Linked DNA regions of Danio rerio. The protein of the gene in region 3 interacts with the protein of the main gene of each other region in a biochemical or structural test. Links are inferred from orthologs where the notes say so. Each region holds a gene or a part of one and is shown on either strand. Other genes may lie near its edges.

Region 1 (7,995 bases), on a different chromosome or scaffold from region 3:
ATTATTCTGCTTTAACTGTGCTCATGGTGCAAATTCACATATACTGTAAGCACTAATGTTTATTATATGATTAGTATGTTTGTTAGTAGTATGGATATGTGGTTAGTATGTTTCTAGTATGGATTAGTATATTTTTAGTATGTTTGTTAGTATATTTCTAGTATGGATTAGTCCATTTTCAAAGTATATTGCTAGTCTGAATTGTTAGTATGTCTAATGTAAAGTCAATGGCAGTTTTTTTTACAATGGAAGTCTATGGGACAGTTGCTAGAGTGCCGTAAATGGTTGCTAGGGTGTGGCTAGTAAGTTGAAAACTCATCAGTAATTGGCAGATTGGTAGTCTGAGTTAAATGAGCCCAGCTTTAAGTCTGTATGACAGTCTGGTGAACGGTTATGAGGTCACAAAGTTTGGTCCAATGTTAAGTCAATGGGACTTTTCCAAATTTGCTGGGTCAGTTTTTGGAAAATTGTAAGTCGGATCAGTTGGAAAATTAATTTTACTGACAACAATAAAGACCACATAAACATAACATAACTAAAAGAATAAATAAAAAAAATATTCTGCTTCAATTGTTGTCAAGATGCAAAATCATATACAATCAAGCACTAATGTTTATAGCATGATTATCATGTTTTTAGTATGTTTTTAGTATGGATATGTTGTTAGTAGGCAAGGCAGTGGCACAGGACAGTTGTCGCCTCACAGCAAGAAGGTTGCTGGTTCGAACTTCGGCTCAGTTGGCGTTTCTGTGTGGAGTTTGCATGTTCTCCCTGCCTTCGCATGGGTTTCCTCCGGGTGCTCCGGTTTTCCCCACAGTCCATAGACATGCGGTACAGGTGAATTGGGTAGGCTAAATTGTCCGTAGTTCATGAGTGTGTGTGTGAATGTGTGTGTGGATGTTTCCCAGAGATGGGTTGTGGCTGGAAGGGCGTCCGCTACGTAAAAACTTGCTGGATAAGTTGGCGGTTTATTCCGCTGTGGCGACCCCGGATTGATAAAGGGACTAAGCCAACAAGAAAATGAATGAATGAATGTTGTTAGTATTTTTTTCAGTATGGATTAGTATATTTTTAACATGTTTGTTAGTATATTTCTAGTATCTAGTGAAGAATTGGTAAGTTGTTAGCATGTCCAATGTAAAGTCAATGGCAGTTTTTTTTTTTTTTTACAATGGAAGTCTATGGGATAGTTCCTATAGGGTGCGGCTTTGTAGGGTGTGGCTAGTAAGTTGAAAGTTCACTAATGACTGGCAGATTGGTAGTCTGAGTTAAATAAGCCCAGCCTTAAGTTCGTATGACAGTCTGGCGAAAAGTTACAGTATGAGGTCAGAAAGTTTGGTCCATTGTTAAGCCAATAGGACTTTTTCAAATTTTCTGAGTCAGATCAGTTGGAAAAGAGTCAGACCAGTTTTGAGGTTTAGAGGTTAGTTTTTGTAGCTTAAATGGTTTAGTAGATATGCATATAGACCATTTTGAGGCATGTAAACAAAAACAATGGTCCCAATGTATTATCTGTTTTACATTTAATTTCTATAGCTTCAGAGAGTCCAAAAAGAGCCACATATTGATAGTAATGTTATGATAGCTGTTTTAACAATAAGTTATTATTGACTTGCCTCTTGCAGTTATGAAATGTTCATTTGCCAATGACATCATCACATTGAAATGGTCTATGGAAATTGGTCTCAGAAGAAGTAGTAGTAGTTTATGTAATAGTATCTTGGCTTTCTCAAGACACCATGACTATTATTTCTGTTTAACTATGATTTAACAATTCAACATGGATCCCCAACATTCTGTAATTGTACTAACAATCACATTTAAAGCATAAATAAGGCACCTTGTGCTGTGCAACCAGTTTCTAGATGACTGCAGAAGTATCCCGTTCCATCACTATTTGTCTCCGTTTCCCTGTTCCTCTCTCCTTTCATCCTTATCTGTTCATCATTTCACCCCTCTAAAAGAGTCCATTTGTCCTAGATATGTTACATTGTGGTCGATCGAAAACAGTATTAAACCAGTAATGGGTGTCCACTTTGGATGGTTACTGTGTGCTTTATTTGCTCATTACGCTTATCATTTAGGATGTCACAAAACTCAACAATTACAAAGCATGGGCTTATGCTGATTTAAATTTTTTTTTTTGTTAAAAATTTGTTTATATCAAAAAAATCATATCATCATCTAGCAACACTTCTAAATCACTGAGCTTTATATATGGGTCAGATAGATAGATAGACAGACAGACAGACAGACAGACATATAGATAGATAGATAGATAGATAGATAGATAGATAGATAGATAGATAGATAGATAGATAGACAGACAGACAGACAGACAGACAGACAGACAGACAGACAGACAGACAGACAGACAGACAGACAGACAGACAGAAAGAGACAGGCAGGCAGACAGACAGACAGACAGACAGACAGACAGACAGACAGACAGACAGACAGACAGATAGATAGATAGATAGATAGATAGATAGATAGATAGATAGATAGATAGATAGATAGATAGATAGATAGATAGATAGATAGATAGATAGATAGATAGATAGAACCCACAATCAGATAAACAGACATAATGATGATACATGTATGCCATGAGTGAACATCTTATTGACATTCAGACTCAGAGAGAAGACAACATTTCCCAGCAGGAATGAACTGTAATGGGCCAAATGCCCAGAAAACTTCCTGACACACAAAAGATTCTTCATAAACCTGACACAAGAATCATTCCTCACCTGAAGGAGTCTAAAATTGAACAACCTCATTAATAAATTTAAAATCACATACTTTATAAATATAATGCACCCCCCCCCCTTTCCACAAAAAAAAAAAAACAAATACGTGCCATATGAAGTTTCAAAAAATGAAAAGTTTTCTCACATTTCACTTTAAAGACAATAAAACTAACCTATCGAAATAAAAGTAAAACTATTTAGACTAAATCACATAAGAGATTTTTTTAAATATATATTTTTACATTTTACAATAACATTTCATATGGCACTTAGAAGTTTTTGCATCTGATCCATATACAGAAGTCTAAATTGTTAGCCCTTCTGTGAATTTTTTTATATTTCCAAAATTATTTTTAACAGAGCAAGAATTTCTTTCACACTATTTCCTATAAATATTTTTTTCTTCAGTAGAAAGTCTTAATTGTTTTACTTCGGGAAAATTAAAAGCAGTTTTTAATTTTCTAAAAACGTTTTAAGGTCAATATTATTAGCCCCTTTAAGCAATTTGCTTTCAACTGTCAACAACGACTTGCCCAATTACCCTAACTCAGATAATTAACCTAGTTAAGTCTTTAAATTGCTCTCTTAGCTGAATATGCTATCTTGAAAAAATATCCAGTAAAATATTATGTAGGCCTACTTTCATCATGGCAAATGTAAAAGAAATCAGTTATTAGAAAATAGCTATTAAAACTATTATATTTAGAAATAAGTTGAAAAAAAAATCTTGTCTCCGTTAAATAAAAATTAGCATGTGTATAAAATATACAGAGGCTAATAATTCTGACTTCAACTATATATATATATATATATATATATATATATATATATATATATATATATATATATATATATAAATAATATATAAATAATATAAAGATTTCTGATGCAAAGCCACTAAATTTAGCAAATATGTGGTGAAACTACTATACAGCCTACATCTTGAATTATTGACATGTCAACATATGAAAGTATCCGAGCTGTGTTTACCTCCTGAAGCTGCTCTAGCTCCTGTTTTAAAGCCTCCTGCTCGATCTCGAGCTCGGCGTACTGATGTTTGAGCTTCTGGTTTTCCTCCAGGACCACCAGACCGCATTCCGCAGCCCGGATCTTCTCCCGGTTTGCCTCTGCGAGCTCTCGGGTCAGCCTTTCCACCTCGCTCCGGTACTGATCCACCGATTCCCCGCATCCTCCACCGGCTGCCATCGCCTGCGGTCTCCGGTCGGGTATGATCTCCGCGTCCTCCGTTCCCGTGACTCTCCGAAAGGCGGAGGCTGATGGAGAGATTCAGGTGGAGATGCTGCAGTCCGTCCACCCGATGCGCCTCCTGTTTGCCGACGCTGAAATGATGTTTACACCAGAGACACATGGGCTGGACTCGATTTCTTCATGGTAGACGATGCTGTGATAAACCGCAATATTGTTTATTCCATCAAATAGGCCTACATTTATATTTTTTTATTCTAATTTCTAACTTCAAATGTTATGAGGAAAACCGGCGCCATCTACCCGGAATGCCAAGTGAGCAGAAGTTGATTCTGTCTATCACATGTGACGTCACTCACTGCCTCCCCCCGTCCCGCATCGTTTGCATTATTTATATTGCATTATTGGTGTGTATTTTATGTAGTGTAAGTCTATGCATAGTTAAACAAAAGTGATTAATAGTGAAGTCAATTTTATTTAGTTATATGAAAAATTATTATTGTAAACGACAAATTTAGTCAGTAAAGCAAAAGAGAGCAAATAGGCCTACTGTTGATCCTTGAAATAAATGGCATAACATGCTCAAGCTTCCTAAATCTTTAATGATGCACAAAATGTTATCTGTTCTGATTATGGATAACCACTTAAACGCTATTATGTTGTAACATGCAAGATGTTAAATAATATTGCGCCACTTGCTGGACAAGGCCGCAAATTACATGTTCAAAGAGAAGCAGGCTAGTTGGACTATTACATTTAGATTCTGAAAATCATCCCAAATCCAGATCTGCTTAAACGACTAACATGTTGTATTGTGTATTATTTTAAAGAGTGATCAGATGATGATGTTCAATACTCCAGAATAAGTGAAAAAAAGTCAAGCAAATTCTTGGTCAAAACGCGTGGAAAAGATTGTAAAACGTAAACATTTACTCTGAGCAGTAATAACTAATAACATGTGATATTCATTACTATAACCAGATTAAATAACTAATTTTAATTAGATTATAATACGTATTAAAATGCACAGAATCAGATTAAACATATTATGGTCTACATATTTAAAGAAATATTCACACAATGACAGAAAATAAAAAATAATTATTTTCTAAAAATTCAAGTATCATTTATCTTTTAATTCTTCAATGCAAAATGGCAACATGAATTAATTTGCAATTATGAGACAACATTTATGCTTATGAAACAAAAATGTAAATGTTGGAAAATACATTTGTAAATATATAGATCACTAAATTATTTAAAACCCAAAAGGCATTGACCACGTAAACGCAGTTTTATTGTTTACTAATAATCTACATCAGTATGTGTTGATGTAATACAGTATGTTTATGTGATGCAGGGATTCCCAAAAATCTTTCCCAGTCAACTCATTTGACCAAAGATATTTACTTGAATCCACTTTTTAATTTAATATTATAATAATTTAACAATATTTTGGTCAATTGGCATGCAGGCAAATAAAAATTATATTAAAATTTATATTAAAAAATTATATTAATTGTAAATATATTTATATTTATGTTTTCTGTCTCTCTCTCTGCACACTAAAAAAGTTGACTTAACTTAAAAATTTAAGGCAACCAGTTTCAGGATATTTTTGAGTTTACTCAACTTAAATCAAGTCTAGTGCAGTATTTGGGTTGAAAGTTGAGTCAACTCAAAAAATCTTTGCAGCCAGCTGCCCTACAATTTTGAGCTGAGTCTACTTTTTTTTTTTTACAGCGCACAAAGGCCATTAAAACCTGTTACAATCAAAAAATCTAAATAAAAGTAATCTAAAAGTAATCCAAAAGTAGTCATAATCCTTACCTACACTGTAAAAAATCTATTGATTAACAATTTCTGCATTTTGTGATTCACAAGTGTTTTCAGTGTTTTACATCATGGGACGTTGATCTCTGCTCTGTTGACTTTTGATGTTAAAAATTCAACCCTAGTTTAACAAAGTGACTATTATTGACATATCAGCAGTTTGAAATAATATAATGCATAAGAAATAGGGAAGTAAGTCTGTAATAGGCAATCCATCCCATGAACACCTTATTATAATTGTAAAACAAACATCACTACTTTTTTCTACACTTATTTATTTAACAACTTGCCAATTTGCACGTAACAGCTGCACATATAACACTGTATATAGTAATACACCTGTACACTTGTCAAATTGTATATTTGCATTCACAACTTACTTCTATTTTTAAAATATAATTTTTATCTGTTTTTGTCCAGTCTCTGTAAGTCTATTGCACTGTAGAAGCTGTCACGAAAACAATTTCTTTGTACAGTTGAAGTCAGAATTATTAGCCCCCCTTTGCATTTTTTTTCTTTTTTAAATATTTCCCAAATGATCTTTAACAGAGTAAGGAAATTTTCACAATATGGCTGATAATATTTATTTTTTTCTTTTGGAAAAAGTCGTATTTGTTTTATTTCAGCTAAAATAAAAGCAGCTTTTAGTTTAAAAAAAACCTTTTAAGGTCAATATTATTGGCCTCTTTAAGCTATTACTTTTCCGATAGGCTAGAAAACAAACCATCATTATACAATAACTGCGTAATTACCCTAACCTGCCTAGTTAACCTAATTAACCTAGTTAAGCCTTTAAATGTCACTTTAAGCTGTATAGAAGTGTCTTGAAAAATATCTAGTCAAATACTATTTACTGTCATCATGGCAAAGATAAAATAAATCAGTTATTAGAAATTAGATATTAAAACAATTGAACTGTGTTGAAAAAAACTCTCCCTTAAACAGAAATTGGGGGAAAAATAAACAGGGGAGCTAATAACTGTACATTAACTGTATGTGTGAACATAAAGCTCTTTCTGATTCTGATTCTAAAACAACAAAAAATGTAGTGGCAGTTTATTACAAGGTTATGCACTGCAATATACAACACAATTCCAGACAATGTATTATTTTTTTAAACTATTAAAAATGTTAATAAAACTTTAATTTTACAGTGTAAAATTAGTCATCTAAAAGATAACTGTTAACTACAATTTTCATTGTGCAATTTGTAATCAGTAACACCCAGAAAACAATCAAGGCCGCTAAAATTAGCCTTGAGGCTAGTCTAAATATCAATCTCATGGCTCTAACTGTGTTTACCCTAACAGTGTAAACCAATGTAGATCCACAGCCAGTAAAGCAAAACACTGATATATAAAAGTAAGATAAATGTCAATAATCAACATTATTTATAATTACTGGACTGGATGTACAGTAATTCTGAACGTGACAGCACTTGAATAAGGCATATCTAAGTAAATTACATGGAGGAAATTGTGAAGAGTCTGAGAAAAAGACCTCATGACACACTTTGTTTCTGAATGCCAGCTCTTCACCAGCCTGCATGTGATTGCATTTTTGTTTTTTTCCCAGACTGTGACGTTTGCCAGCTGGTTTCAGCACTTGAAACAATAATTTGATTGGCCAGGAAATCAAGCACATCCTTAAAAATGAGCAGTGCAAAAAGGGTGAAAGATCATGTTCGCTTTATCTGAACAACTTCCTCGACTTTCACAATCATTAACTACTGGATAGGACAGTGAGATCCATTTCATCTGAGGAATGTGCGCCAAGGTAAGTAAAAGACATTTCTTCATATTTTCCAATGATCTGATGAGAGAAATTGTATCTCTAAAAGTAGTAGCAGGCTATTGGGTTGGTCTGATGAGAGAATGATTGGATGATTAGGTTTGTCCTGTCACTATCTCAGATAAATCTGCGAAATGGGAGACATGTGATATGTGTAGTATATGAGACGACCTGCAAGGCCCTAGTTTGGAGAGCTCTACAGGAATGTTAAACATGTTTAATATTATACTACAGTATATCTAATAAAGTATATTAAATGAAATAGACAAGAAAGAAAGGGGCTGCTTGTTAAAAGAAAAGAAAATAGTTCAAGTAAAGAAAAAGTTCACACATTGTTATTTTATATGGATTAATTTGGAAACCTAATATTACTGTTACAGGATATATAATTATAGACCATGTATTAGACCAT
Region 2 (7,554 bases), on a different chromosome or scaffold from region 3:
CTTAGTCTCCCTGCTGTAGGAGTTCTCCAGTTTGTTGCCACTGAATGTAGCCTTAGGTTGTCCCTTATGTTGCCTATTGCCTTAGGCTCCCTTTTATATATTTGTCTGAAGTCTAGTCGATTAAAGATCAGGGCAATTGTAAAAATAGTATATTATGAAATTTTCTCATCTGGTTTATTTTGACAGATTTTTTTTTTTTTAAAGCAGAAATAGAACTCTGGATATTTATACTCTGATTGAAGCCCAAAGTATGATTGTGCATCGACATAATTGTGTGACGCATAAACACTAGAAAATCCAATTTCAATGGCTTTTCTTTTTTCTTCAAAGGTTAAAAGTCATGAAGTCTGCTTATTTAAAACTTGTGGGTTTTTTTACCGTATTTGCTCATGCAGTTTTGTCCATGTTTTTTTCCACTGTGAAGCATCAGCCTGGTGATGTGTTGACCCCCTGTGGAAAAAAAAAATGTAAAATAGGATATATAAAGCACATTAAGTATGCACGTAATGTTCACTCACTTGCACTGTTTACATACCCTACCTTATGCTAAAAAACTGAAGCATATTTAAGACCAGAGTGCGAATTACAGGGGGGTTTGGGATGGATTGATCCCCCTAATTAACGCTTGATCCCCCCTGAAGGATGTCGAAACAAGATGTAGTTTTGTAGTTTAACCTACAGTAACATCTGAAATGGCTCATCAGAGAATATTGTAACATACCTGCCAACACTCCCGTTTTTCTCATGATTCTCAAGTGTTTCAGATTCATCTCCTGCCACCCTCCCGTTTTGTTATTTCTCCCGGAAAACTCCCATATCTTCATCCAAACTTCCCCGCCAAGGATAGAAAAGATACCTCAGCTTTTTTGTACCTTCTGTGAAACCCCCTCGTCACCAACTTTGGTATAGGATATAATCGCAGCGACTGCTTAAAACACGCTTCATAGTACAGTTACTAACACCAACAGTGTTATTCAGACACCTCAACCTCGAACCTAACCCCCTCGTCTCCCGGATTTTCAGGGACAAATGTTGGCAGGTATGCTTTAAGTCAGATTACAAACTTAAATGCGTTTTATTAATAAACTAGATGCAACTAAAAATAAATACATAAACGACTGAAGCATGTATTACACAAACTAACCAAAACAGTTGACCCCCCCTGATCATCAATTTATAATTCACACACTGCTTAAGACTTTAGGTGTACAGATTTGGCTCATCAAAAATGTAATAATGCTGGAACAGACATTTTCATGTACTGTTAACTCTAATAAATTCTTGCTGGCCATACCAACTAACTGTCATTGAGTTTAAAAGCATGTTTTATCTGTTAAATGCATATAAAAGGCTCTTCTCAATTGGTTTAATGCATCAAGTCAGATCTGAAACATTAATGTTGAATTGGTCCACCTTTAGCTGAGAGGAGTTCACTGCCCAGGAAGATGGAGCCAGTTGTACCTGCTCCAGTTAAAGACTGTGTTCCAGTTCCACCTCAGAGAGGAACCTCCAAATCCTTCTCAAACAACATCAACAACAGCACTTTAGCAAATCCCTCAAACACAGGTATAAAAATGGCATACATAATGCAAGAACATTACAATATTTGCATTGGTTTACAGGGACATACATATATCACAGTAGTTGCTTGTGGAAACTCAGTGACCCTTTCTGTACCTGCAGATTCCACCCGCTCGCTTGCCACAGATTTTGGCTTTGAAGAAAACTTTAACCACGTTTTAAAAGTGGAAGAGAAGAAGAACAAGCAGAATCGTTTAGTTGCACAACGAGAGCCACCACCTCCACCAATTCCCCCTCTTCCTCCTAGGAAAGGCACAAATACATCATTGACAGGCCCAGCTACCAAAGAAAGGCCACCATCTGTACAAAATGCCACACCTGTCAGAAATGAGTAAGTGCTACTGGTCTTAAATGCAGAAACTTATGGATTTTCAGAAACTGTTTTTAAAATGTTGTGCTCCTTGTCATTGCAGATTTCAGTCTGTAGACCGATCTGTTTCCTGGTCTGAAAGCCCGTCCAACTCCACCATAAGACAGGCCATGATGAGCAGCCATGCAGGGTCAAGAGAAGGTTTGCTCAAGTATCGCCTCAGCAAGAAAGAGAAAGAATATGTGGACATTAAGAACTTTAAGTGAGTGTCAGTTTTCCATGTGCATTTTGTCAGTAAAGTCAGCTCTTGTAAACATCCAGCATATGGAGTTGAAGCAGCATTTACTACACAGAGTTGTTTTTTTTGACTAAGGATGCAAAATAGCATTTAAAGTTGAAATCTGCATATCTGGATGAAAATGATATTGAAATAATCGCTCTGTGATAATAGCAGCAGTTTGCATCGCTTGTCAGTGAACTACGGCTCTGTGTAGTTATTGCTGCAAATGAAAACACCACGTGACAGTGTTTCTACCTCCAATTGATTTCATAAATTCAGTTAAGTGTTTAAACTAAAATTTTCCTGTTTGTTGGTCATGTTGAATCAATGAAAGTATTTAAATTCTATGTTTATAGTCAAATGCTATGAAGTTTTACTGGATTTCTTTTTTTTGTGGGCCCTCTGGCCTTTGGAGCAGATTTACTACTGATGATAGAACTTTTAGGATTATCACCCAGGTCTACTGTAAACTTAACATCAGTGATTTTGTTTTGACCGCTTTAAGGTGATTGATTAAATCCCTCTATTTGACAGGTTCTTCGTAGGCACGTGGAATGTAAATGGTCAGTCCCCTGACAGCAGTCTTGGGCCCTGGCTCAGTTCTGACCCAGACCCTCCTGACGTCTATGCACTAGGGTGAGTGTCACATCATGAACTGAGAACACTGTTATACCCAGAATTCCATGCGAATTGTGTCATCTTTAAATAGGAAATTGTTATTATTTGCAATTTTGTAGCATTTTTACTTGCCCTCCACTTTTTTCCAAACTTACAGAAGTTTATTTTCTACTGTTAAACAGAAAAAAATACTGCTGTATGTATATGTAAGAAAAAAAACATGCCATCATTACATTCATACATACATATCACTATGCACATACATAATTACCTATATATACATCACATAAACTTTAGAAGTAAAATAAAGAAAAGAAAAAAATAAGAAGAAAAAGGGAAAAGAAAAAAGTAACAACAAAAGTAAAAAAGTATAAAATTAACACGTTTAACAAGCCAAACATATGAGATTGTTTTATATCTTCCAATTAAAATTCACTTAAATGTGGTTGTCTTTATATTGCCTATATATCAACCATTTTTTTTCCAACCCTTCCTGAAAATATCTGTTTTCATCCTCAACATAAATGTCAGTTCTTCCATTATGTTATCAAAAAGTTGGTTGTTCGTTATGAGTTTCATTGTAGTTTTTACTACAATAGAAGTTATTGGGTAACATCAGCTGTCTGGTTACAATAATTCTTGTAAGCATAAGTTATTTTGTGTTCAGCAGAAGAAGGAAATCATACAGGTTTGGAACAAGTGAATGGTAAATGATGACAGAATTTGTATTTCATCCTTGTAATGTATTTTATTCATAATTAGGGATGCACCAATATGTATTTTTGACCCAATTTCTTTAGATTTGGAGGCAGATAACCGATATATATATGATCATTATCTACAGACCTCCAAAATATTCTCCAGCTTTTATTGAGGATTTTACAGAGCTGTTATCAATTGTAACCTCTGAATTTGATTATTTTAGTATTGCTGGGGATTTTAATATTCACATTGATAATCCAGAAATCAATGCTGTAAAAGAACTGATGACTGTTTTTAACACTTTTGATCTGACTCAGCATGTTCAAGGACCCACACACAATCGTGGACACACTCTTGATCTACTTATAACTAAGGGTTTACACATTTCATCGACTGTTGTTAAGGATGTGGCACTATCTGATCATTTCTGTATCTTTTTTGATATATTGATCACTCCAGCTATTAAAGACAGATCTGTCTCTGTCAGAAAGAGATGCATAAATGAGAACACCAGTGAGCAGTTTATGAAGGCCATATCGCTAGCACCAAGTATATCTGCAGATTCTGTTGATTCTCTCCTTGATTTGTTCAACTTTAAAATTGAGAATGTCATAAATGACATCGCTCCTGTTAAAGTCAAGAAGCTGACTGGCAGGCAAAAGGGATCTTGGACAAGGTCACCGAGAGTACAAATGATGAAAAGACAGTGCAGAAAAGCTGAGCGTATGTGGAGAAAGACGAAACTAGTAGTCCATTATAATATCTATAAAGACAGTCTTCATGCCTTTAATATGGAACTAAACACTGCTAGACAGACTTTCTTTTCAAGCCTTATAAACAGCAACTTAAATAATACTCGCACACTCTTTGCAACGATAGAGAGACTCACAAACCCCCCCAGTCGGATTCCAAGTGAGCTACTCTCTGAAAGCAAATGTAATGAGTTTGCTCATTTCTTCACTGATAAGATTAATAATATCAGAAAGGCAATCAGCTCATCCAATCAGTCAAGTTGTGTCGATATCAAACAAGCTCAACCACAACTTGAGAAGTCAGACATTATGTCTGATTTCATGGCAATTAACGGCAAAATCTTAGAAGAAATTATGCAAGTTATGAAAACATCAACCTGCAGTCTTGACACGCTCCCCACATCATTCTTCAAATCGGTGTTTACCTGTTTAGAAATGGATCTTCTAAAAGTGGTAAATGCTTCACTTCTCTCAGGGATTTTTCCAACCTCACTTAAAACTGCAGTTGTTAAACCCCTCTTGAAGAAGAGCAACCTGGATAACACCCTATTGAGCAATTACAGGCCAATCTCAAATCTCCCTTTCATTGGTAAAATCATTGAAAAAGTTGTTTTTAACCAGGTTAACAAGTTCTTAAACTTCAGGGGGTGTTTAGACAATTTTCAATCTGGTTTCAGAGCACATCACAGTACAGAGAGCGCTCTTATAAAGATAATCAATGATATACGCCTAAATACAGATTCAGGTAAAATAACAGTGCTGGTATTGTTGGATCTCAGTGCTGCATTTGACACTGTCGATCACAGCATACTTCTGGATAGGCTGGAAAACTGGGTTGGGCTGTCTGGCACGGTCCTCAAATGGTTTAGATCTTATCTTGAAGGTAGAGGTTACCATGTCAGTATAGGTGACCATAGGTCGAGGTGGACACCCATGACGTGTGGAGTCCCACAAGGCTCGATTCTGGCTCCTCTCCTGTTCAACCTTTACATGCTCCCTCTGAGCCAAATAATGAGAAAGAACCAAATCTCCTACCACAGCTATGCTGATGACACTCAGATCTACCTAGCCTTACTGCCTAATGACTACAGCCCCATTGACACCCTCTGCCAATGCATTGATGAAATGAGCAATTGGATGTGCCAAAACTTTCTTCAGTTAAACAAAGAGAAAACTGAAATGATTGTGTTTGGGAACAGAGATAAGGTTCTCAAAGTAAATGCGTACCTTGGCACTAAAGGTCAAACGACAAAAAATAAGGTCAAGAATCTTGGTGTGACTCTTGAGTCAGATCTGAGTTTCAACAGTCATGTCAAAGCAGTCAGTAAATCAGCATACTATCATCTCAAAAATATTGCAAGAATCAGATGCTTTGTTTCTAGTGAAGATTTAGAAAAACTTGTTTATGCTTTTATCAGCAGCAGGGTGGATTACTGTAATGGACTCCTCACTGGTCTTCCTAAAAAGACAGTCAGACAGTTAAAGCTCATCCAGAATGCTGCAGCCAGAATTCTAACAAGAACCAGAAAATCAGAACACATCACACCTGTCCTCAGGTCTTTACACTGGCTGCCAGTTACATTCAGAATAGATTTTAAAGTATTATTACTGGTCTATAAATCACTAAATGGCCTAGGACCTAAATACATTACAGATATGCTCACGGAATACAAACCTAACAGATCACTCAGATCATTAGGATCATATAAACTAGAAGTTCCAAGAGTTCAGTCAAAGCAGGGTGAATCGGCTTTTAGCCACTATGCCCCTCGCTGCTGTAATCAGCTTTCAGAAATGATCAGATGTGCTCCAACATTAGGCACATTCAAATCAAGACTGAAAACACATCTGTTTAGCTGTGCCTTTACTGAATGAGCACTGTGCTGCATCCGACAGATTGCACTATCATGTTTTTCTCTTCTTCTTCATTCTTTTATATCACATTTTACCTGTTTTTATGTTTTAAGTTCGACCCCCGCATGCACAAGGCAGGCAGTTCTGTACAATTACATAATCTATCGGCTTTAAGATATCGGCCTAATTTTGAAATAGGATCGATAACAATATCATTAAAAATAGAATTTATTGGCTTATAATGATGTCGTCGCCGATATATTGTGCATCCCCTTTCATAATAAATAATTGTGCGCTATACATTGTGTATTGTAAGTTTGTCTGTTATAGTGCTTTATTCAGCTTATTCTGTCATTTGTCAGATTTCAGGAGCTGGACCTGAGCACAGAGGCGTTTTTCTATATGGACTCATCCAAAGAACAGTTATGGGTTGATGCAGTAGAGAGAGGCCTCCATCAAAAAGCCAGATACATTCAGGTGATCAGTGAATACCAACTGAAATGTCCTGCTTGTAATCATTTGGTGGCCAAAGAAAGTGGTAAACATTTGCTGAACACCCTGCATGCTGTCTTCAGGTTCGTATTATCCGCCTAGTGGGCATGATGTTGGTGGTGTATATCAAAAAGGAGCACAAAGATCAAATTCGAGAGATCGCTTCTGAGTCTGTGGGAACTGGCCTCATGAATAAAATGGTATGTTTAGATTTGTTACAATAGGAAGTGGTTTGTTAAGAGGAAGTCTCCATTGTTATATTTGTATTAGATATGATATAATTTATGTTATCGCTTACACAATTGAGATGAAATGACCACAAATGAAAAAATACATGCCTTAAATGAGTGTATCAGTGTCAGTTACCTGATCAGATTAACCCACATTTATTACTCTGTGACTATAGGGGAACAAGGGAGGAGTGGCAGTGCGCTTTGTGTTTCACAATACCAGCTTCTGCTTCGTAAACTCTCACTTGGCAGCTCATGTGGATGACTTTGAGCGGCGAAACCAGGACTACAAAGACATCTGTGCACGCATGAGTTTCCACCTGCTGGAATACCCGCCTGTCAGTATAGTGAAACATGAGTGAGTGTCAAGATTCCAGTCATTCATCGGTTGCTCATTATATGAGGACAAAACTTTTAATGGACTTAAAATAAATTTGTTAAATGCTTACACTTTCTCCTCCAAGTGTGGTGATTTGGCTTGGAGATCTCAACTACAGGCTATGCTTGCCTGATGCTGGGGAGGTAAAAAGGCTTATTGCTGAAAAAGAGCTACGGAGACTACAGGAATATGACCAGGTGAGACCATTTATGTTCTCAGGCATATAACTTTTGCATGTTTTTTTTTCTCGTGTTTATTGCTTTATAGTATAAGTCTAAGGTGTTTATTTTTCTTTTTACAAAATATGGTATTAATATTTAAAATTAAACCGTTTTGTTTTAGTTATGCACCCAACT
Region 3 (7,554 bases):
TTCCGTTCGGACGTCATCGATCCATTTGGTGGTCTGCTGGAATGAGTTGACATCTGTCAGGGATTTTAGAGAAAATGGGTTAATTATGAAGGTGAACCTCAGGGGTTTGTGGGGGAATCCCAGGAACATGAAGGTAACTCAAAGAAGAAAAATAACAGAACGATAAAATAAGAGGACAGAAAGGAGGAGTTTCAAAAGCTTCAAGTGTCTCTGTGCTCATTAATGTAAATCACAGGAAAAGAATCAAGAAAACCAACGCTACAGTAGTGGCCAAACATGAAAACTGGAAAAAGCACAAAACTATTTGGCAAGCTCTGGATGAAAGGTAATCATGTTGTAAATAATATTAATTTTATTCTGCCTCTATCTTTTTTTATTTTTAACTTCAAAATGCCGCTAGTTAGTTTTTTGTTTGTGAATTTTTAGCTATTTACATTTTATAAATCATCAAGGACCAGAATCATTCTACTAAAATTAAAAAAAATAACAACATCATTTTTAATGGTTTGCATGTAATTGCGTCTCTACCCGGACTTGGCATTTCCCTTTCCCAAAATAAGTAATAACTTGCATGGCCTTTAAATTCCTTTTGGCCATTTACAAATGAATTATGTGAACACATAACAGAAACATATCATTTAATATTTCAAGCAATTATAAAAAAAACACAAAAAATGTTTGGTATTTGTAAGAAGTGTATATTTCTACTTTTGATCACAACCAGTGTTGAGGAAATTTACTTTTGAAAGCACAGCATTGAATAACTCCAATAAAAAGTAGTTGCGTCACTTAGTTTCTTTTTTATGGTAAGTAATGCATTACATTACTTTTGAGTAAATATTTCTTGCATGGCTGAGGCTTGATCTCTTTCAGTTTTTTTCTTTTTTTTTTAAATGGAGAAACTATTAACAATACACTGCATAACCTTCGTTTACCTTTAAAAAAAAAACACATCAAAAATAATATCGTATGATAATGTTATCTTCTAAGAATTTCCTGACCGCAGTGCTATACATGCCGTATATACAGATTAATGCAAGTTTAAAGAAATGTGTTTGCTACTTTTGTACTTTTTGTTTTATTTGTGAAGTAAAAGTCACTGTCCATTGAGATAATCCCCTTTTCATATTCTTCCAAGTGTTAAAAATAATGAAAACACTTCTATCCCAGAAATGTAAGCCAGAATCATCTTGGTTTCTGTCTGTGCCGAGCACATTCTGACTGTTCATTTTAATTCAACAATTATCTTTTTTTAAAAGCAAAGTAATAAAAATAAAAAGTAACTTGGATTTTGTTAAAATGTAAAGAAACTCAAATATTATTACCTAATTTTTAAAAGTAATCCATTACTTTACTTAGAAAAGTAATATTATTATGTAACTTAGAATTTGTTTAGCCATTTTGAATGTTATCACTCATTTGAAGGGGCATTATTAGTGGTTATCAGCTAATAGATATAGGTCAGTAGGGGCTGTCTGAACCCACTGATAGGCTCAGAAGGCTGTTATCCATCCACATGGTTAGTCAGCAGTAGATCACATATGGCTTCAGCCGGAAGTTAACGAGAATAATTTATATTAATTTTAAAATTTCACATTAATTGTATTTTATGAACATCTACCCAAACCCAACCATCACAGTGTTGTAAAAAACAGATATGGAGTCTCCTCTATTAGTAAAGCCGATTAACCACAAGAATTATTAATATTATTTAACAAATTTCCTATTAATTGTATTTTATTAACGTCTACTCCTACCCCAACAATCACAGTAATGTAGAAACAGATCTTGAGTCTTCTCTATAAGTATAGCTGATTAACCATGTTGATGGATGATAACAGCCTTCTGAGCCTACTAGTTCATATCCATTAGCTGATATGATAACCACTGATAACGGCCATTCAATCGAGTGATAACATTCGAAGCGGGTAATCCGTCACCCTTAACACTGATCACAACTGCAAAAATATACTGCTCTTTAATATTTTTATTGGTCATTCCGCTGTGTTTAGCTTGTTTTTAAATTCATCTTCATAAAAACGACTATTATGTCCCTTTTATTAACTAATGAAGATCTGTTAACATGTAAGCTCAAATACGAAACAAAACAAAGGTGTCTAGCGCTCCACTTTAGCACCAAACTGCAAAGCAAAGAAAAAACAACAAGTCCCACAAACATAAGACAAGAAAGATGGAATCACAAACAAACAAAACAAATAGAATGAGAGACAGAAAAGGAGAGACTGCGTTGAGATGACAGACATCTTTCCTCTTCCTCAAGATCTCCCGCCGAGGATCCACACTCACTTGTGATGTCATAGACTACAACAGCAACCGTCGAGTCCCGGATGTAGCTGGGAATCAGACTGCGGAAACGCTCCTGTCCTGCTGTGTCCCAAAGCTGCAGCCGCACCTGACCAAACATTTTAGCACCAGAGATGCAGCAGAGAGAGAGAGAGAGAGAGAGAGAGAGAGATGGGGAGAAAGGGGAAGAGGAAGAGGTAAGAGGAGGGGAACTGGACGCACACTGAGTCTCTGATACCTACTTGTGATGTCGTAAACTACAACAGCAGCGGCTGAATCTCGGATGTAACTGGGAATGAGGCTACGGAAACGCTCCTGTCCTGCTGTGTCCCAAAGCTGCAGCCTGATCTGTGTGAATGGAGAACAAACAAAAGAAAAGGAACCAGAGTAAAAAGGAAAAAAAGGAGGAAATTAAATGTTTAAAAGGAAAAGATGATGTATAGGAAGAAAAAAACAGAATAGAAAATAAAAATGCAAGGAATGGGTGAAAGCAAAATGGACAATGTATTTGAGACTGTTAAATGCTGGCGGTAGTTCACCCGTCAATGTAAATTCAGTCCTCCTTTTACTGACTACAAAAGATATGCAGTTGAAGTCAGAATTATTAGCCCTACAGAAAAATTAGCCCCCCCCCCTGTATATTTTTTTACAAAATTTCTGCTTAATGAAAATATTTTGTCACACATTTTTAAACATGATAGTTTTAATAAATGAAGTAAATAATATTTTACTAGATATTTTCAAGATACTAGTATTCAGCTTAAAGTGCAGATCGGTTGGGCTTTGGCAAGGTACGCTAGTAGTGTACTAAAAGTGCGCCTGAGCCCGAAACTGAAGACGCAACGTCACTTTTAGAGGCTGTTTCATATGGATTTACTAATCAATCTTACTTTTCAATGAACAAGAACTACTGTCCTAATTTACTAAAGTTACAAACCCCTCACGGCACGTCAGCTACACCTTCAGCAAACCTCCTAATACCTGCAGCATGATGACTTTCATGAACATTTATGAGCGTCAAAAGTTGTGGATCTGTTCAGCAAAATAATTGACTGCGTCACTGACTTAAATGAATACAAAACAATACAATTAAAGCCATCTCCATTGTACTGAGCAAGAGCGCTTCTTGTCCTAACCGAACAATTGCATCATTGATGACGCAAGCGTGCTCAGGGTAGACAATTGAAAAAAATATTGCTTTAGGGGGCTAATAATATTGACCTTAAAATGTCTTATTTTATGTAAAACAGCTTTTACTATAGCTGAAGACTTTCTCAATAAAAAAACATAATAGGTAATACTGTAAAAAAATCCTTGCTCTTTTAAACATCATTTGTTAAATATTTTTTAAAAGGAAAGCTAATAATATTTACTTCAACTGTATATTTGAAAATTATTTACAAAAAAGGGCCAAAGGATTGGTAAAACCATTCACTTTATTGGTTTTATTAGGTATGGGTTTAAGTCAAAAGTAAAGCATCATTTTTTTTTTCTCTAAAGGTCTAATAACATTTCTTCCTTTAGTATTGATAACTGCTTTACTAGTGCCACAGACTTAACAAACTATATAATTATATATGAATTATCATCATTAATTTTAAATATGGCATGAACAAAACTTCCACAAAAATTCTGTTGAACATAAAATAAGATATACTGATAAATGTTGGGAAAAGCTGTCATTGACATATATAGTAAGAACAAAAAATACTATGGAAATCAATTTGTGTTTTTTTATCTGCATTTGTAAACTCAAACAGGATTGGTCAAGTGGAGAGTGAGTATTTTTATTTTTGGGTGAACTATACTTTTATTGCAGATCTAGTTGCAGCCATTGTATAAAACAGCCATAAGCAAGAGACCTTTTTATAAATTACCTTTTTATGGTTTTTCTGAGCATGCATATTGTGGTAAAACAGCTCCAGAGTGATTAAAGAGTGGGTGAACTAACCCTTTAAGTCTATTGTTAGTAAAGTATTCAAATGTTAGTAGGGTTAAGGTATGGGCCAGGGTTTGGCCATATTATCAGGACAGCAGATCTTCTGAATAAAACATAATTATACAAAATAAAAAAAAATTAAATGAGAGAAATTCTTTATAAAAGGAAACAAACATGTATGAACAAATAACTAGAGAGTGAAAGAGAAAAGAGAAAGAGGCTGGGGCAATGGACACAACAGGTGGAGAAAGGCACAGGAGTTTCTCTTTGCGCACTTCATCTTTGACTTTTATAGACATTTCCAAATATCAAAGGTTTAAAACAACATTTAACATTCAAAGAAAACAATGAATGAAACATTTATATGCTATTTTAAATAATCTTTTATTTGATCATTTTTCATCTTTCAATATCAGCTAGTATCTGACAGCAGATTTTTCTTAAGTAAAGCGGTGAAAACTTCTCAAGTGACTCTAGATATACGAGTTTATCTCCCAGACATCGTGTTTGGGATATATATGACAATAGTCTTATATCACAAAATAAATCATCTCAAATTCAGTACCATTTCTGTCAATGTAATTAATTAATAGTTTATATTTAAACCGCATGTAATATTATTTTGATTTACATTATAAAGCATGATAGAAAAATCACTCGTTCATATGTGATCATATTTCTAGCTTTATTTAGAACTTTAAAAAAATTAAATAACAATAAAATAAACACTTTTCAAAAACGAATGATAAAAAGTTCAACGTAAAAAGCAAATAAATAAAATCAACATCATCGCTAAATAAAATGCAAAATGTAAACATTGTACTTTCAAGATTTTTTTTATGTTTCTGACTTGTAATATTGTGTTTATATGAACTATGAAAAAAGTATTAACATAAGAAATGTACATTGTGACACCACAAAATAAACAAGAGCATAATAATATGAAACAATAGACTTTTTTTACGATTGCACATCCCTAATTACTATACATCTAAAACACAATGCACTGAAACAATTATTTATCACTTACAACTTTAAAACCATTTCAGAGAGTGTGGCAGAAATCAAAGAAACTTAACATATAATATTATATACAAATAATGTTCTGAAGAACGAGAAAAGAAAATATCAATTCCATTAAATAAACAAATTCACTTTAATTTACAAAAAGATTATCAAATCCCTCAGTCATTTCTTAATATCTCTATGATAATTTCATGCATTTAGTATATTTTAAACAGTTAAAGCCATATGCATTTTCTATTAGAGTGAAAAATAAATTACTTACTGTTCTGTCCTCAAGATACATGGTTTTCGACAAGAAATCAATTCCTATCGTGGCCTGAAAATTAAAAGCAACAAAACATTAGAGATGAAGCACGCCAAACCACACAACTGATCAGAAACATTTAAAGTTGAGAACAAACAACATCACTTACCTGGTAGGTGTTATCGAAACTGTCGTACATAAATCTGGTAATCAACGACGTCTTTCCCACTGCAAAATCAAAAATGATCATGTTACTACTAAAACATTAGATTAGGCTTCTGCCGGTATCAAATTTGATCGTTGCGATTAGGGCTGCACAATATATCAATACAGCATTGATATCCCAAAGTGCGCATCCACAAAAGACACATCACAAGATGTGCAATGTTCAGTCTGAATTATAGTTCACCAGGAGCTACACAAATACATTTAATTGCTGTATTTATACAGAATATATACGATTTATGCAAAAAATATAAAGTGTTATTTTTTTTCTTTGAATTTTTGTTGTGTTTCTTGCCTAAATATCTACATTTCAAAGCAAACATTAGAGTATTTTAATTCACCTACTGGCAGATAATTTGGCTTGTTTTAAGTAAAAACTATCAATCTGGACTTAATTCTTCTTTAGAGTTCATAAAGTTACCAAAAAACATCTAATTTGCATGTGTTTTAAAGATGTAACTGTGAACGCATTTCAAGATGGTTTAAAGTTAATTAACTTCAGGAAAGATTATTAAATTATATATATGCTATAAAAAATTTTGTAATTCTCACAACAAATCAAGTGATATTTATTTTACATATTTAACTTGTGTACCTGAACACTGTTAGAGTCTCAGAAAAACAATGAAGCATTTATTTAAATTATTTACAGCATCTATCACTGCACGCCACAACAAAATCATCCTATTTTCATCCTAAACTATCCTAAATGGATTAATTCTATCCAAATAGAGCTACTCATTTCATCTGTTAAACTTATACTCAACATTGCAGGAATATAAAATATTGCGACGCCAGTTTTTTCCAATATCATGTAGCCCCTATAGTGATTACTATATTTAATTAACTGTTAGACTCCTCAGAAAACCCTCAAACTATTCAAACTGTCAAAGAAAACTGTATTTATATTGCAAAATTTAATTGCAGAAAAATAAAATAAATCGCAGGAACAGATTCTTCCAATATCGTGCAGTGGCTGAAATTACTTGCTGTAGTTTTCTGACTATATACGGTATTATCACAATGTTGACCTAAGCTGAAAAATACTTTAGCAGTAATAATAATAACAATAAACACATAATGTATATACATAATCAGAGTACACAAATGTTTCAACCAAATTAAATTGCACAAGGACTATAAAGTACAATAGCTAACACTTTACAGAAGTCTCACTGGTAAACCTTAATGCGTTAAAATCAACAGTGAGAAAAAGCTAGATGTATTACACTAAATGTTAATTTTAGTTATAACTGGTTATTATTATTAACTCCATTTAATAAAACGTGGATGTAACTGCCTACGGTTTTAGCACACTACTAGAGGTAATAACAGAAAAAAATAACATTACCTAATATTAGGGCTGCACAATATTGGAAAAAACATTGACATTGCAAGATATCTATCAAAACTATCAACATTTAGTCTAAAATTTAGTCTAAAATTTAATCTTTCAATATCTATCGAAACTATCAAAATTTTCTGTGCATTCAAATCTTATTTACATCAGACTCTTCTCATGACACGTGATAGATTTATCTAAAAGGAGACCATGAACAACACATGCAATGGTGTCTGTAAATATGCAAACAGTTTGCAATGTTTATTTTCCTATTCAAATTTCAGAAAAGCCTCAAGCATAAAGCCTCAGAAGTCTAGTCTGAAAGATGTTTACAAAATAATGCCACATAATCTTTGTTTATGCTTTATGCTGCAGATGTACTTTTGAATTCTTGCCCAATGACTTGTGAAATTGGTGTCCAGTGAAACACTGTGTGGGACAGATATTTCAGAAAGGGGAGTAGCTCTTATATTC
Region 4 (7,554 bases), on a different chromosome or scaffold from region 3:
CTTTATAATAAAATAGACTCTTAAACTAGATAAAATGTTACAAAGTGTGTGCAATAGTAAAGTACAAATACTGAACAATCAAAGAAAACTTATAGTGTGAATAATAATCATACAGTAAGCCTCAAACTTTGTCAAAAACACAAATTATGATGATCAAATCTGAGCTTTCAAGTAAAGGAACCAACCATCATTATTGTTGTGAAGTTGAATAACTATATTACCCCAATGCAAAAAAATCTTTAAGATGGGGAGCTAGTGCTTGGATTCACAAGAAAAGAAACCAAAAAGCCATTCTGGCGACATCCTATTTTATTTACAATCTTTTCACTGCGGTTATATGGCACTCATTTTCGCATGTGTTGTTATTCTGACCTGAAGGGACAAGCGCGTGTGCGTGGATTCCTTGACCATTTACTATGGACTTTAATGGTGTTCGGTCAATAAATATCGATACTGATATTTATCGCCTAGCCCTAGTTAACCACGATTTGGAAAAGTTAACATTTCCTGTTATACCGTTCATATGGTATATGTGTTTTTTTTTACAGTTATTTTATTTAGTTTTTTTAACATGGTTCAGCAAACATTTGAATACAAATCGCTTTACATACCAGCATCCAAGCATGCTATCGACCTGAACAGTGCAGGGGCTTACTTTATATTCAAAGAAAAGAAAGATATCTAAAGATACCTTTTCAAATTGTAAAGAAATCGCAATACTGTAAAATCGTGGTATTTTTGTCCAGTTTCATACTGGTTCATGCTATCAGGATCTTCAGGTTTGTGCGGGTTCTTAAAGTCTTAAATTTCAAAAAACAAATTTTAGGTCTTAAAAGGTCTTAAATGCATTAAACTATTGTGTTGTAGGTCTTAAATCATTTTAAATGGGTCTTAATTTTCCTATGTGAACGTAAAGCTATACCCAATTAGGCCAACATCCATACAATCACTAGCAATATATTTCTGAAAAAGTTTTAAGAAACGCTTATTTATTAATTCTATTTACTTATTATTATGGTTTAAATATCTTCCTTACAATAGCGTGTTTTTAATGTGTTTTTTTTTTAAGGTTTTAAATTGGCCATTTAAAAAATCTTTAGCTTTTAGCCTTGTGGAAGTCTGAAATTTCAATCATGGTCTTAAAAAGTTTTAAATTTGACTTTATAAAACCTGTAGAAACCCTATACCAGCCCATGGATGCCTAATGGATGTAAATATGTCGTTTGCCATACTTGTACAGTAAAATGCACCTGGAAAGTGCTTAAGTTAAACTTTTTTTAAAAAATGTGTCACTCTGAAACTATATCTGAACACAAATTTTTTTATTCTTTCAGCTGGTGCATGGCCCGTGCAGTAAGACACGTGTTGCATACATTCTGTCCCTGCTCCGTGAGCAGCCAACTCATCCCAACGACACCACTTTACTAGAGGAGGATGAGGAGGAGAGTGATGAGGAAGGAGACATCACCATGTTTGATCCTGAGGTAAACCCAGTTAAATTCAGTTGTAGTAGTTCAAATCACTCTTAATCCTCATTAGCAGTTTCAAACAATTTCCAAAAGTTATTATTCTTCACTGGATTTGTGAGGAGGGATGAGATGTGGTTTCAGTGTACACAGTCAGGTCCAAAAATATTGGTCACAGTATTTCGACACAGTTCCAACATTATGGTGCTATACACCAACACAATGGATTTTAAACAAGATGTACTTTAACTGCAGACTGTCAGCTTTAATTTGAGGGTATTTGAATCCAAATCAGGTGTACGCTGTAGGAATTACAACAGTTTGCTTATGTGCCTCCCACTTGTTAAGGGTCCAAAAGTAATTGGCTTCTTAGCTGTTCCATGGCCAAGTGTGTGTTGTTCCCTCCCAATGACAATGAGCAGATAAAAGGTCCAGAATTAATTTAAAGTGTGCTATTTGCATTTGCAATCTGTTACTGTCAACTCTTAAGATGAGATGCAAAGAGCTGTCATTATCAGTCAAGTCCTCAAAAACGGGAAGGCCAGATTAGAGTTCTAAAAAAGCCTTCACAGTTCTGGAACAACATCCTATAGACGGATGAGACTAAAGGCCCGTGGACACAAAGGCGTTTTTTTCTTGCGGTTTTCGTCAACATTTAGTGCCTCTTGACTAAATAAAGGAAGTCAATGTGATCGTGCACACCAACACTCAAAATGCTAGACGCCAAAGCGTCATTTAAAAAAAACAGCTCATGCTCGTTTTTTTGTTTTGACTTCTCCACCAATCAGATTGGCACTTTTTTGGAGCTGCTGAAGTAACAGTAAACAGCACTTGGAGGCTGCAAATGCAAAACTGTCAATGCAAGCACACTTTGAAGAAGATCAACAGAGGCAATATGAACGTGGAGCTGCTTATTGCTCTGTGAACAATAATCATTTCTTCATCGCTGGAGCTGCTACTTGAACCATCCATGCTTGTTTGAGTCACCAGTAAATTCAACAACAAGCATGTGGACTTCCTCTCTTCCTCTTCTTCTGTGTTATAAGCGAGGTGTCAGAAGCTTAAAGTTGTATAGTGCCAGCTAATGTCAAGAAGTGATTTTAGCATACTCTTCTGCTTGAAGCCACAAGACACGAGCGTCCTGGTGTGTACCAGCCTTAAGATTAACTTGTACCAGAGTGATGAGAAGAGTATGGAGAAGGAAAGGACCTGCTCATGATCCTAAGCAGTGAAGCATGTTGGTGGTAGTGACATGGCATGGGCATTCATGGCTTCTAATGGAGCTGGTTCTCTTGTATTTATTGATAACGTGACAGCTGACAAAAGCAGCAGGATCAGAACTCATTGGATGGCGCTTTACAGAACAGATGGATGATGACTGCAAAACCAACCAAAGAGTTTTTGAAGGGAAAGAAGTGGAATGTTATGCAATGGCCAAGTCAATCCCCTAACCTGAATGCGCTTTGAGCATGCATTTCACTTGCTGAAGATGAAACTAAAGGGAAAATGCCCTAAAAACAAGCAGAAACCAAAGACAGTTGCTGTAGAGGCCTGGTAGAGCACTACCTGGAATGAAACTCAGGGTCTGGTGATGTCTTTGCATTCCAGACCTCAGCCTGTAACTGGCTGCAAAGGATTTGCAACCAAGTATTAAGTGAAAAGGTTAATTTATGATTATTATCCTGTCCAATTACTTTTGGTCCCTTAACAAGTGGGAGGCACATATGCAAACTGTTGTAATTCCTACAGCCTACAGCGTTGACTTGATTTGGATGTAAATACCCTCAAATTAAAGCTGACAGTCAGCAGTTAAAATACATCTTGTCTGCAGTTAAATCACATATCTTGTTGATTTTATTACAAATCCATTGTGTTGGTGTATAGAGCCAAAAATTTTAGAATTATGTCCCAATATTTATGGACCTGACTATATATAGCCATATGATAATTTTTTTTGTGCTCAAACACGCATGTAGAAAGCCATTACGATGTTATTTTCATTTATGAGAGTAGCTGGGTTTTTATTGCCTTGTGTTAATACAATATAGGTGATTGAAATGTATAAGATGTATAAGATACAAACCACAGTTTCATAGGGGACCTTTGACAACAACAATTTCTTTTTTCCATGTAAAAGTCTCAGAGGAGATGTATGAAAAGTGTGGAGATCTGTCTTCAACTCTAGCAATAGTGAGTTTTGTAGTTCATCTAAATTTTTGAATGTTGAACAGGCACTGCTGAAGGCCATTGATGTTCTAAAGCGTGAGGTGCTGCGCCAACGGCAAGAAAAAGAGGAACTGGAGGCCAAGGTTCGAGAGGAGGTCTGCACTGAGATGATGGAGGTTATCAGCCGCATGCAGGATGACTTCAGGTGCTTCATTAAGTGCTTAAATGAGGAAAAAATTATATTAAGAGCAAATGCATATGTACTGTCATAATAAATAGCTGATGCAGTTTTTAAATGTCTGTTTTGCTGTACAGTGAGACCCTGGAGAGCGAGAGGGATCTGATGGAGAAGAGATGTGAGAACAAAATTAACAACTTGAAGAGCAGCTTGAAGAAATATTACAGCCAAGAGCTAGAGGTCAGTGAAGGGAGAAAGTACAAAACCCTTATTTGTGAATCTGACTAACTGAACTAAAACTGTTTACGCCTGGTATCCATGAGGGCTGCACAATATCAAAGTCCCTTTAAGGCAAGTCATTTCACTCAGGGGCCATCTTTAAAATGCCTCTTGGGCATTATGCACAGGCATTCTGTCTGAATGCATAAGCAATAAATTCTTCAAAACTGTTAGCCAAGCTTATGATTACATTACATATTTGGAATCACCAATTAGAATAAACAATAACCGTCTCGTAAGTTTCATTTCTAAACGTCTGAATCAAACAAAATGCACACTCAAAAGGAACAAAATCACGGCACCAATCTCATTTATGGCCGTTCTACTTGTTATCATCCTCTGGATAATGATCGTCTGATCGCGCTGCTCTTCTGAAGTAATCCACAACTTAAAAGCTTAATAGCGAATCTTCTCCAGAAATGACAGCAACTCTTTGTTTACAAATTTGTGGGCATTTGAGAACTTGCTGCTGTCATGTGATGTGCGTTTGACAGGACGGACTGTACCTCGCGTTAGTTTCGTAAGGACTACAAAACCAAAAATCTTTGCACTTCATTCATTTAAACCAAGTATTCGCTGAGATTACACTGTGTTTGTTGACCACCAAACTAAAAATAGCACACATCTGGTCTGAGCTTCTCCCCAGGAGAAACGTCAGTCTATAGTGATCGATGATTGTCTCCTGTACTAGTAGGCGGTGCTTTATTTACCATATTGACCATTACACCTTTTACCATTCAAAACTATAATAGACATGTCTTGTGTGTTCTATAGTCTTTGACTATATATCGATATCGCAATGTGAATCTGCAATAGTCAAATGCAGTTTCATAAATTTCAAATGAATTGAAACCATTTGGCCACAAAAAATTATACAGATTGCCACTTTAGTAAAGATTAATCGTGTTTATTTATACAACAAATACAGTGTTATTTCACATTTGATCATTGGATTTATATACTGTTGGACTGTTGGGAGATTGTTTTCATCTGTGCTTTAATTTATTATGTATTTATTTTTGATAATCTTGAACATTTTATGCAGATCTATACCCATAAGAAATCATCCCAGTCAATGTAAAATTCTGAAATCTTTCCATGTAGTCATCTTATGAAGCTATATTTATGCCATAATGTAAATCGCAGAAAAACTAAATATTGCATTTTTTTCCAAAATCGTGCAGCCCTAGTTATAGGCATCCTTTTCATCGGATTAATTACTGTCATGGGTGAGGCAGTGGCGCAGTAGGTAGTGCTGTCGCCTCACAGCAAGAAGGTCGCTGATTCGAACCTCGGCTCAGTTGTCGTTTCTGTGTGGAGTTTGCATGTTCTCCCTGCCTTCGCGTGGGTTTCCTCCGGGTGCTCCGGTTTCCCCCACAGTCCAAAGACATGCGGTACAGGTGAAGTGGGTAGGCTAAATTGACTGTAGAGTGTGTGTGAATGTGTGTGTGGATGTTTCCCAGAGATGGGTTACGGCTGGAAGGGCATCTGCTGCGAAAAACTTGCTGGATAAGTTGGCGGTTCATTCCGCTGTGGCGACCCTGGATTAATAAAGGGACTAAGCCGACAAGAAAATTAATGAATGAATAATTAGTCATTTGTTTAGTTTGAAGTCTCTTCTGGTAGGGTTATTATAGTAACAATTAATTGTCTATAATTAAATCAGCAAAAGCTAGATCATCAATGGAGTATACAATTTTTAGGCTGACAAAACTTACAGCAGACAGAACGTCTGGCATGTGTGTTTATGTACAGTCATTGGCCACTTTATTAGGTACACCTGTCCAACTGCATGTTGACACACATTTCTAATCAGCCAAACAGCAGCAACTCAGTGCATTTAGGCATGGAGACATGGTCAAGACGATCTGCTGTAGTTCAAACTGAGCATCTGAATGGGGAAGAAAGGTGACTGAACATGGCATGGTTGTTGACAAGACAGGCTGGTCTGAGTATTTCAGAAACTGCTGATCTATTAGGATTTTCACACACAACCATCTCTTTAGGGTTTAGAGAGAATGGTCAGAAAAAGAAAATTTATACAGTAAGTGGCAGTTCTGTGGATGCAAACGCCTTGTTGATGTCAGACTGGTTTGAGTTGATAGAAAGGCAACAGTAACTCAAATAATCACTCGTTACAACTGAGGTATGCAAAAGAGCATCTCTGAATGAACAACACCTTGAACCTTGAAGCAGATGGGCTACAGCAGCAGAAGACCAAACCGGGTGCCACTCCTGTCATCTAAGAACAGGAAACTGGGGCTACAATTTGCAGAGGCTCACCAAATTTGGACAGTAGAAGATTGAAAAAACTTTGCCTGGTCTGATGAGTCTCGATTTCTGCTGCGACATTCGGATGGTAGGGTCAGAATTTGACATCAACAACATGAAAGCATAGATCCATCCAGTCTTGTATCAATGGTTCAGGCTGATGGTAGTGGTGTAATGGTGTGGGGGATATTTTTTTGGAACACTTTGGACCCATTAGTACCAATTGCGAATCGTGTCAAGGCCACAGCCTACCTGAGTATTGTTGCTGACCATGTCCATCCCTTTATGGCAATCATCTGATGGCTACTTCCAGCAGGATAACGCGTCATGTCGTAAAGCGTAAATCATCTCAGACTGGTTTCTCGAACATGACAACAAGTTCACTTTACTCAAATGTCCTCCACAGTCACAAGATCTCAATCCAAAAGAGCACCGCTGTTTTGTGGTGGAATGGGAGATTTGCATCATGAATGTGCAGCCGACAAATCTGCAGCAACAGCTGGATGATATCATGTCAATATGGAGCAAAATCTGAGGAATATTTCCAGTATCTTGTTGAATCTATGCCATGAAGGATCAAGGCAGTTCTGAAGGCAAAACGGGGTCCAACCTATTACTATTAAGGTGTACTTAATAAAGTGGCCTATAAGTTTCAGTTTGTGTATGTGGATAGATGGAGTGAGAGAGACACACTGACAAGCTGATAAAATAAGCACATTTTATCAACAGTAAACTTTTACACATATTTTTCAGTTTTCATATGATTTTAAACTTTGCACTTGAAGTCATGGTCAATAAGTTGGAAGGTAATAAAAGGAAAGAATCACACAAATTTTGTTTCATTGTGGAAAATCAATTTAACTACCAGCAAAATGGAGCACAAAGCAGCATAAACTATCTATAATATATAATTTATAAATAATATTTTTTATAATTTAAACTAATGTCCTGTATCCTGCAGTATTCATAGTCTTGTTTTATACTTAAACCTTTTTTTATATACAGGTAAGGAAGCTAGCCTTAAACGTATTATTGCATAGACAAGGAATTATGTTTTGGAAACCTCTTCATATGTACACAACATATAAGAGAACTTAAATGGCTTCAAGGGATAGTTCACACAAATATAAATTGTCATTTATTTTCCCTCGCTTGTTCCAAACCTGTATGACTTTCTTTTTAGTGTTGACCACA

Evidence for each region.
Region 1: the proteins of rab6a (region 3) and bicd1a form a complex in vitro, tested with the Homo sapiens proteins (3 studies listed by BioGRID). The link is inferred for Danio rerio from reciprocal best matches to the Homo sapiens genes RAB6A and BICD1.
Region 2: the proteins of rab6a (region 3) and ocrl form a complex in vitro, tested with the Homo sapiens proteins (2 studies listed by BioGRID and IntAct, with this or other methods). The link is inferred for Danio rerio from reciprocal best matches to the Homo sapiens genes RAB6A and OCRL.
Region 4: the proteins of rab6a (region 3) and kif20a form a complex in vitro, tested with the Homo sapiens proteins (2 studies listed by BioGRID). The link is inferred for Danio rerio from reciprocal best matches to the Homo sapiens genes RAB6A and KIF20A.

What each region holds. Positions count from the first base shown.
Region 1 is NC_133193.1:13,402,648-13,410,642, reverse strand, and holds the start of bicd1a (protein bicaudal D homolog 1), read right to left. Parts: upstream 4,277-7,995; 5' UTR 3,960-4,276; coding exon 3,744-3,959; exon of another isoform or gene 3,693-3,743; intron 1-3,692. UniProt on the Homo sapiens protein: Regulates coat complex coatomer protein I (COPI)-independent Golgi-endoplasmic reticulum transport by recruiting the dynein-dynactin motor complex.
Region 2 is NC_133189.1:38,418,706-38,426,259, reverse strand, and holds part of ocrl (inositol polyphosphate 5-phosphatase OCRL), read left to right. Parts: intron 1-1,419; coding exon 1,420-1,566; intron 1,567-1,683; coding exon 1,684-1,912; intron 1,913-1,994; coding exon 1,995-2,153; intron 2,154-2,705; coding exon 2,706-2,807; intron 2,808-6,459; coding exon 6,460-6,574; intron 6,575-6,672; coding exon 6,673-6,789; intron 6,790-6,995; coding exon 6,996-7,177; intron 7,178-7,283; coding exon 7,284-7,395; intron 7,396-7,554. UniProt on the Homo sapiens protein: Catalyzes the hydrolysis of the 5-position phosphate of phosphatidylinositol 4,5-bisphosphate (PtdIns(4,5)P2) and phosphatidylinositol-3,4,5-bisphosphate (PtdIns(3,4,5)P3), with the greatest catalytic activity towards PtdIns(4,5)P2.
Region 3 is NC_133185.1:41,755,348-41,762,901, reverse strand, and holds part of rab6a (ras-related protein Rab-6A), read right to left. Parts: intron 5,742-7,554; coding exon 5,683-5,741; intron 5,586-5,682; coding exon 5,532-5,585; intron 2,653-5,531; coding exon 2,547-2,652; intron 2,414-2,546; coding exon of another isoform or gene 2,308-2,413; intron 54-2,307; coding exon 1-53. UniProt on the Homo sapiens protein: The small GTPases Rab are key regulators of intracellular membrane trafficking, from the formation of transport vesicles to their fusion with membranes.
Region 4 is NC_133196.1:38,601,955-38,609,508, reverse strand, and holds part of kif20a (kinesin-like protein KIF20A), read left to right. Parts: intron 1-1,334; coding exon 1,335-1,484; intron 1,485-3,697; coding exon 3,698-3,837; intron 3,838-3,947; coding exon 3,948-4,050; intron 4,051-7,554. UniProt on the Homo sapiens protein: Mitotic kinesin required for chromosome passenger complex (CPC)-mediated cytokinesis. Following phosphorylation by PLK1, involved in recruitment of PLK1 to the central spindle. Interacts with guanosine triphosphate (GTP)-bound forms of RAB6A and RAB6B.